2 linked regions of the Neurospora crassa OR74A genome follow. Each later gene encodes a partner of the first gene's protein in a complex. Links are inferred from orthologs where the notes say so. Each region holds a gene or a part of one and is shown on either strand. Other genes may lie near its edges. The genes, in order: NCU16016 and cox-6.

What was found.
Region 2: the proteins of NCU16016 (region 1) and cox-6 are in contact, whole or in part, in a cryo-EM structure (PDB 8DH6), measured with the Saccharomyces cerevisiae proteins. The link is inferred for Neurospora crassa OR74A from reciprocal best matches to the Saccharomyces cerevisiae genes COX1 and COX6. Residues at the interface, in NP_009305.1 of Saccharomyces cerevisiae: Asp496, Phe497, Val498, Glu499, Ser500, Ile503, Leu506, Asn507; in NP_011918.1 of Saccharomyces cerevisiae: Leu66, Phe67, Gln70, Leu73, Asn74, Arg106, Glu109, Ala110, Tyr113.

The regions. Positions count from the first base shown.
Region 1 is NC_026614.1:37,719-41,634, reverse strand, and holds NCU16016 (cytochrome c oxidase subunit 1), read right to left. Parts: upstream 2,368-3,916; coding exon 694-2,367; downstream 1-693. Other genes in the region: NCU16017 (hypothetical protein), read right to left, coding at 1-731. UniProt on the Saccharomyces cerevisiae protein: Component of the cytochrome c oxidase, the last enzyme in the mitochondrial electron transport chain which drives oxidative phosphorylation.
Region 2 is NC_026505.1:4,303,843-4,307,795, reverse strand, and holds cox-6 (cytochrome c oxidase polypeptide VI, variant), read right to left. Parts: upstream 2,244-3,953; 5' UTR 2,107-2,243; exon of another isoform or gene 1,993-2,106; 5' UTR 1,968-1,992; coding exon 1,807-1,967; intron 1,591-1,806; coding exon 1,545-1,590; intron 1,383-1,544; coding exon 1,265-1,382; intron 1,085-1,264; coding exon 963-1,084; 3' UTR 519-962; downstream 1-518. UniProt on the Saccharomyces cerevisiae protein: Component of the cytochrome c oxidase, the last enzyme in the mitochondrial electron transport chain which drives oxidative phosphorylation.

The sequences.
Region 1 (3,916 bases):
TCTGTTTGTGTTGTTTCATCCTCTGAATCTGTTTCTGGTGCTAATCGGTCTTGATTAGGACCTGAGCTTGCACCTGAATTTCCTTTTGCAGATGGAGGTGAATCTGAACCTCCTGATGCACCTGAGTCTGAACCTTTTTTATATAAAGTTAAAGGTCCACGTGGAGATGGTGTTTTTTTTTCACAAGACTCACCACCTACACCCGCAGGTAATTCAAAATCACTATAATATAGTTCTCCAAAAATTCTAGCTAAACTACCAAATAGGTACATCAAGGTTCAAAGATGAAGATCTAAAAATATTGAAGAAGCTTTAGGAGCTTCTACTCCTAAATTGGACGCTTCTACTCCTAAATTGGACTCTACTCAAATCATATTAAATAATCTTAAGCCAAAAAAAGGGAAATTTTTTACCAAATTTTGAGTAAAAAATACCAGAGTTCATATCTCCTGATCATAACAAATATATATACCTTTAACTATTAACATAGTAGGTAGAGCAAAAAAAATAAATATTTTAAACTTCTTAATCATATTCATTCAGATGGCTTTAGATATTTCAGTAATACGAGATTTAGAAGGTCAGTTCCAAATAGATGCTTGTAAATTTGAGGTCACAAAAAGGTGAGGTTTTGGTGGTGTTAAAGTTAGTTTATGAGTTAAAAATTGGATGAAAGTTAAAAGTTCAAGAAAATTAATTTTGCCTCCCACTGATTTCTTTTTGTTCCCCATATGATGATAATCTAAAAAATGATAAAAAAAATGATGAAGATTGTAATGGAAGACTCACGAATGAATGAGGTTTAGGTGGGCTACTTATAGATCATTCTAAACTAGGATAACTTCTATTTAAAAGAGCACGTAAACTATCAGTATAGAATTGTGGGATTGATCATGGATATCTACCTGCGTATTCTCCTTGAACTAGTTGTATATACACAATATATAAGAATAATCAAGAAGCTACTACACTTACGATTGACCCAAAACTACTTATTAAATTTCAACCTGAAAATGCGTCAGGGTAATCACTTATTCTTCTTGGCATACCTTGTAAACCTAAGAAATGTTGAGGGAAGAATGTTAAATTAACCCCTATGAATAAAAGTCAGAATTGAGCTTTAGATAACACCATATTATAATTTAAACCTAATATTTTAGGTACTCAGTGATATCATCCGCTAAACATTGCAAATACAGCACCCATACTTAATACATAGTGAAAATGAGCAACTACGTAATAAGTATCGTGGAATGCTATATCTAAAGATGCATTCGCTAAAACAACTCCACTTAATCCCCCAATTGTGAACATAAATACAAAACCTAAAGCAAATAACATAGAAGGAGTTAATCTAATAGAACCTCCATAACATGTAGCTAATCATGAGAATATTTTAATTCCTGTAGGAACTGCAATAATTAATGTAGCTGCTGTGAAATACGCTCTTGTATCCACGTCTAAACCAACTGTATACATATGATGACTTCAAACAATAAATCCTAATATTCCAATAGACATCATGGCGTAGACCATACCAATATAACCGAATACTGATTTATTAGAATAAGCTGATATTGTTGTACTTATTATACCAAAACCAGGTATAATTAAAATGTAAACCTCAGGATGCCCGAAGAATCAGAAAAGATGTTGGAATAAAATAGGATCACCACCACCAGCTGTTTCAAAGAATGATGTATTAAAATTTCTATCTGTTAATAGCATAGTAATTGCACCGGCCAACACGGGGAGAGATAGTAATAATAATACAGCTGTAATAACTACAGCTCATCCAAATAAAGCTAATTTGTGCAATCTAATTCCTGGTGTTCTCATATTTACTATTGTAGTTATGAAATTAATAGACCCTAATAAGGAACTAACTCCTGATAAATGTAGGGCAAAGATAGCCAAATCTACACTAGGTCCACTATGACTTTGTACACCTGATAAAGGAGGATAAATTGTTCATCCTGTACCTGCTCCACCTTCTATACATGCAGAGAATACTAATAATAGTAAACTTGGTGGTAACAGTCAGAAACTAATATTATTAAGTCTTGGGAATGCCATGTCAGGACCCCCTACTAATAATGGTAACAAGAAATTACCAAATCCACCTATTAATGCTGGCATAACCATAAAGAAAATCATTAAGATCGCATGTGCAGTTATTATAGCATTGTATAATTGATTATCTGCAATGTACTGCACCCCAGGTCCGCTTAACTCCATTCTTATTAAAACAGAAAATGCTGTTCCAAGTAACCCAGAAAATAGCGCAAAGATTAGATAAAGAACTCCTATATCTTTAGCATTCGTTGATAAAAATCATCTTTCAGTTCAAATCGAAATTGACGACATTAACCCGACACTTCTTTTACTTGAATTTAAAGAGAGCCCAAACTCCTCACTATTTAATTGATTAAATAATATAATGGTTTTTATTATAATGGTTACGTATCTTATAAATAAAAATAAAATAAGATTACAACATCTTATTGATTATACAATCAATGCTAACCAGGATATTCTGTAAACCGACCAACAGAATATCCCCGGTAACGTAATTCTGGATCACCTACGTAGGTGATTGACTGACTTACTAAAAAACACACTAGCCTTTCAATGTTTTGTGGACTTTCTTTTTTTTTTTTTTTTTAAAAAAAAAAAAAAAAAAAAAAAAGGCGGAATCACGGCTAAATCAGTATTAGAACCAACGAAGTGCCTTGCTATATTAAGTCAGCTATCCAATATTCCATTAGCCTCATGTAGTAAATTAACTTTTCTCGCTACCCTTATCCACATATCCCCCCGTCCCCCCGCCCTGCAGTACTGCAGGGGGGGGAAGGGGGATTGTGAAGAGTGGATGAGCGCCTTTGGAGGAGCGCACAAGTTATTATTATAATTCATTTTGCTCCCACTTCTAAACCCCCGCAAGCTTGCGGGGGGTTTGTTAGGAGAGCCTCCGCTACGCGAGAAAATGAAGACTTATCTTATTATTTAACCAAAATATTAAAAATATTTTGGGAGGCAATTATTTTTTAGCTTCCCCCCCTGCAGTACTGCAGGGCGGGGGGACGGCTAAAAAAATTAAGCGAAGCTCGCCTCCAAAATATGTAGGTAGTGTATATAAAAAAAAAAAGAAATATTTCTTTACCGGTTTATTTCTTCATAATACATATTTTGTTAAGGCGGGCGAAGCTTGCCTCAGAATCACTCCGCCTTTTCTACAACATCAGTTAAGATACTACTTAGTATCTTATATTCCTTTGTAGCCTACAAGAGAAGATTTAGTTTGTATATTTTAGGGGCTAGCGAAGCTCGCCTCCAAACTAAACTAAACCTAAATTTATTTTACATACAAATAATAAATCGAGCCGCGAGGCGTCTTTTTATCATATATTTTTAAAAACAAAAACAAATATATGTTTTAGTGCTTAAATATTATTATTATGTACTACCCCCATATTATTTAAGCCCTAAATACAGATAATTACTCCCCTTATAGAATTATTTTTTTTTTTTCATTAAGATAGTTAGTAAATTTATTAAATTTGCGGGCAGCTTGCTTCATTTTTTTTTGGGCTGGCGCTTATTTTTTTTAGCTTCCCCCCCCTGCAGTACTGCAGGGCGGGGGGACGGCTAAAAAAAATTAAGCTAGCCTCAAAAAAATTGGCTATAGGCTAACCCTAAAGGATTACGTAGGAATCGAACCTAATCCTTAAGATTTGCAGTCAAAGGGTAAACCATTTACATCGTAATCCTGATCCCTTGCTAAGATCAAATAATTATTTACGGCCTCCTCCGTTTCCCTCCACCCCCCCCCTGCAGTACTGCAGGGCGGGGGGACGGCTAAAAAAAAAATTAAGCGAAGCTCGCCTCGAGAAGTGGAAGGGAGGAAGGTAGGAAA
Region 2 (3,953 bases), on another chromosome or scaffold:
AGCGAGATCGTTGGGTGCTTGAGAGAAGGAAAGAATGGCTCGGCTGTCGGTCGATGACTGCAGCTGTTTTCCTGGTTCGTGACCAAGGACCGAGACAAAGACAACGATTAAGATGGCTTCAGGTCAGCTTTCCTTATGTCCCTGTCAACGGTGGAATGGTTGGTGAAACGATTGTTTGCTTATTGCTTGTTACCTATTGGTCTTTTTCTTCTTCTTCTTTCTCTCCAGCCGGTAGGAATATCTTTTCACAATACCCATCTCCCTATCTTACATCTTACGGTTCATTAGATCGATTGTTTTCATTTTCTTTTGTATGGTTCAAGGTACTCAGGTTGCATTTGAGGATCGAGGGATGCACATGAAAGAGGTTGAGGCACTCGGCGCATTGGGGTTACCTTTTTCTAGATACTTACTCTACCTGCTATGGATAAAGGCAATAGAATCCAGGTAGAACCAGGCATGACAATCGTGAATCTGGTCAATCTCTTATGACGAATGGTAACCAGCATCCAGCTTTTGTAAAATCTATGGTAAACTCATTACTGCCTTTCGAATACATCTATTTTGCTGCTCTCTACGATCATGGCATGGGATATTCATCGTCCAAACACAATCCGTGACACAACCAACTGTTATCGTATCCAACTCGACAAACAGGTTGAACTCGTTCGATTCCTCTCTCTAAGGCCCTCTTGGATATACTACGCCCTTACTTCCTGCAATAGGAGTTCTCTAGGCAAAGAAACATGTATGGTACCAGGGAATTAGCGTTGAGTGCGCTCTCCTATTCATAGGTTCCAAGCACACACGCTACGCTTTCCCCTTCCACAAACTCCCCCTCCTCTCGCCACAATACTCTCATATCCCCTCTTTTCAAACTTCCAAAGATTCTGGGAGAATAATTGATGGGTCGTTGGAATGGTGATTCTCATGGCATCTTCTAAGTTACGTTGGTCCTAAATTTAGTTGGCCTCCTCGGGGTAGAGGTCCTCCTTGAGGGTGATGCCGAGCTCCTCACGAAGAGGCTTGAGCTCAGCGAGGTACTGCTCGTACTGGCCCTTGTTCTCAACCTTGGCCTTGATGCCTGTTATGACGGAAGCCCGTTGTCAGCATGGTTCTGGTTCCTAAAAGACCGTTTTGCTGTTCCCTATCCACCCGAGCTTATCGGACACCTTGGTATTGACGCATAGGCTGGTCGTCGATGGCTACGATGTGTGCGGGTTTCGGTGGCGGCAGTGATGGATGTTAGGACGGGGGCTCTTACCCTCGAAGACGCGGACAGCGGTGGGGAAGTCGTTGACGCGGCGGGCAGCCTTGAGAGCGGCGGCGAGAACGGAGGGGGAAGGGACGAGATCGTAAGCGAAAGCGTTGTTCAGGTTGCGCTAATTTCGGTATGCCAGCGTCAGTCTCACAGTCTCTTCCTTCCCTTGCCCCTACCCAACAAGTTGAATCATTGTTGTCCCTTGATCGATAATGCAAAAGGTGCGTCGTCGAGTAGGCCGTGAGAGTCGAAGTGGGACGGGAGCATGGAAGGTGGTGCATACCTGAAGCTCGAAAACATCCTGAACGGCATCAAACTCCTTCTCGTAGCTGTTGGAAAAGGCGCAAGTTAGGAATTGGGGAGTTCTCGAGGGCGCATGGAGGTGTTGATGGGGTGGCCCTGGCTGAGGCTGAGGGGAGGAGAGTCGGAGGCATCACGTCATAGTGAAGCCGAGCTAGGATAGGCAGGTAGCTAGCTCGGGCCTGGGACCTCCGGGGCTCGGAGAGGTAGCAGCTTCCCGGCCGGGCTGCCGGGGCAAAACTCACCGGGCAGTGAACTCCTCGAAGGTCTCCTCGTGGTGCTCGGAGCGGAAGCGGCTGGAGGTGCTGAAAAGGCTGACGCGGGCGGCGATGGGCTGGGGGCGGGCAACGGCGCGGAAGAGGCCGGCGGAGGGACCGCGGACGGCAGTGCGGAAGAAGGAGGCCATTGTGACGGAAGGACGGAGGGGGCTACTAGAAGATGAGAATTGAGAGCACACGGTAAGAAGCTGGAACTGCGAAGCGAGAAGACCGGGGGGGAAGAAAAGGCAAGGCGGTAATTGGCGGCGGAGACGGAGAAGCACGCACGTTACGTAGAGGGAGGTACGGTAGCTGAGATGATGGTCTCAATTAATGCTAACGAGGTTGAGGTTCGATGGTGTGCGACGTAAATGCTTGTTCAACCCAAGTGGAAGTCTCCGGTATTGCACTGCATCGGACCATTCGAATACTTCGGCTATGTCTTTTCCGGTTAGCTGACTAGCTGTGTTTTTTCCGCCCTCGAGGTACTTCTGGACAAGCCACTCGGTGGTCAGTGCACAAGCTCCCTAAGCTCACCTTTCCAATTCGTACATGAGCTTGGTATGCAATTGAACAGACAACAGCCCACTTTTCCGCACCAGTAGTGGCTGAAGTGGCTGAAACATTTCTTTAACTTCATAATGAGGCTGATGTCGAAGCAACAGAACGTGGGGTACCTATAACGCCTTCCTGCAGCGAGCCGGATAAATCGACTGTGTGCTCAGATGAATCCGCTGTGTGGAGCCCATACAAACTGACAGCCAAGACCCAAAGCTTGGCATCTCTCGCGCCAAACTTTCGCGATCGCAAGTCATCACCAAAATATCATTGTCTCGACAACGACAACGAAAGCTCAAAACGACTTTTTCTAAAGCGTTGAACTCTCATTTATATGCGGGGGCCTCTCACCGGCCCCCTGCACCCCCGGAACTAACCCTAACACCTAACCCTAACCACTAACCCTAACACTAACCTTGGGGGTAGCCCGCGAATTGCTATACAGTCGATTTATCCATCCAACACAGTCGATTTATCCGATCCGTCCTGCAGCGATGATGCAACCAGTGCGTGTTGCTCATGTCGGTCTTTCACACAATGAAGTGGTGTCTGTTGTTGCGGACATTCACTTCAACTCATCATCGTGTTGACCTTGATATCCCTCACTTTTTTTCTTAGACAATTCCCAGGATTGGGAACATTTGAACCGGCAAGCGCTGGAGATTTACGGATCAACCTATTTATCATCGGAAGAAATTGACTGCCAACCGAATGTTTTGACCGGCACATGGTCTCGTCATCTCAGGATTCACGGCTTGTACACTCGTGTATTTGTGGGTGGATGAATGATGGGCTGATCGAAAGCCAGTATGTAGTTCGGAGAGAGTAGAAAACGCGTCTTGTAGTATTGGTGGGTTGGGGTTGTTGAACAGGCGAGAGCCGCGAAACCTCAAAAAAATGGACTCGATTGAATCATTGAACAAACCGAATTTGTATACCCGCTGGTCAATGTCTTACCGTAGCACTGGGCCACCCCAGGTTGTGAGCTCAATCGCTGGAGGGCAAGCCATTCACCTTCTCTTATACGCACCGTTGGTTCGGGCTCGCCTGGGTGTTTGAACGTCCTCGTATCAATTTCCACGATATCTCTTCCTGATAACCAAGTTGTGAACGTCCTGCACTAGCTACTTCCCCAAACCTCGGCATGGACTCTACACTACTCGTTTGATCAAGAGTTAGCCCGTTGCGGCCCGACAGTTGACGCTCTGCATGATGAACGAGGTATCCGATGTAGGGGGTTGTAGCTATTTGGTGGACCTTGAACGGCCTAGAAGACTGCCCCCAAGTCTCGAGTCAATCATCGATCTCATCCGTGTTTCAACGGGCATGTTGATTTTTGGTAGGACCGACCCTTTTCGATGGAGCCCGCGTTGAGTCGCACCGGAACACTCACGAGATACGATTGATGAACCCCGATGTGAAATAGCTACACTGCAATCTCATCACGGGCTTCGCCGCGCCTCTCCACTGTCATCAATGTCATCAGTTAAGGTCATTATCGGTCATGAGTGGCAGTAGCTATTTCGATGTCTTAAGACCCGTGCCGGTGCCGTACAACTGGATAGTTCGGCACGGTC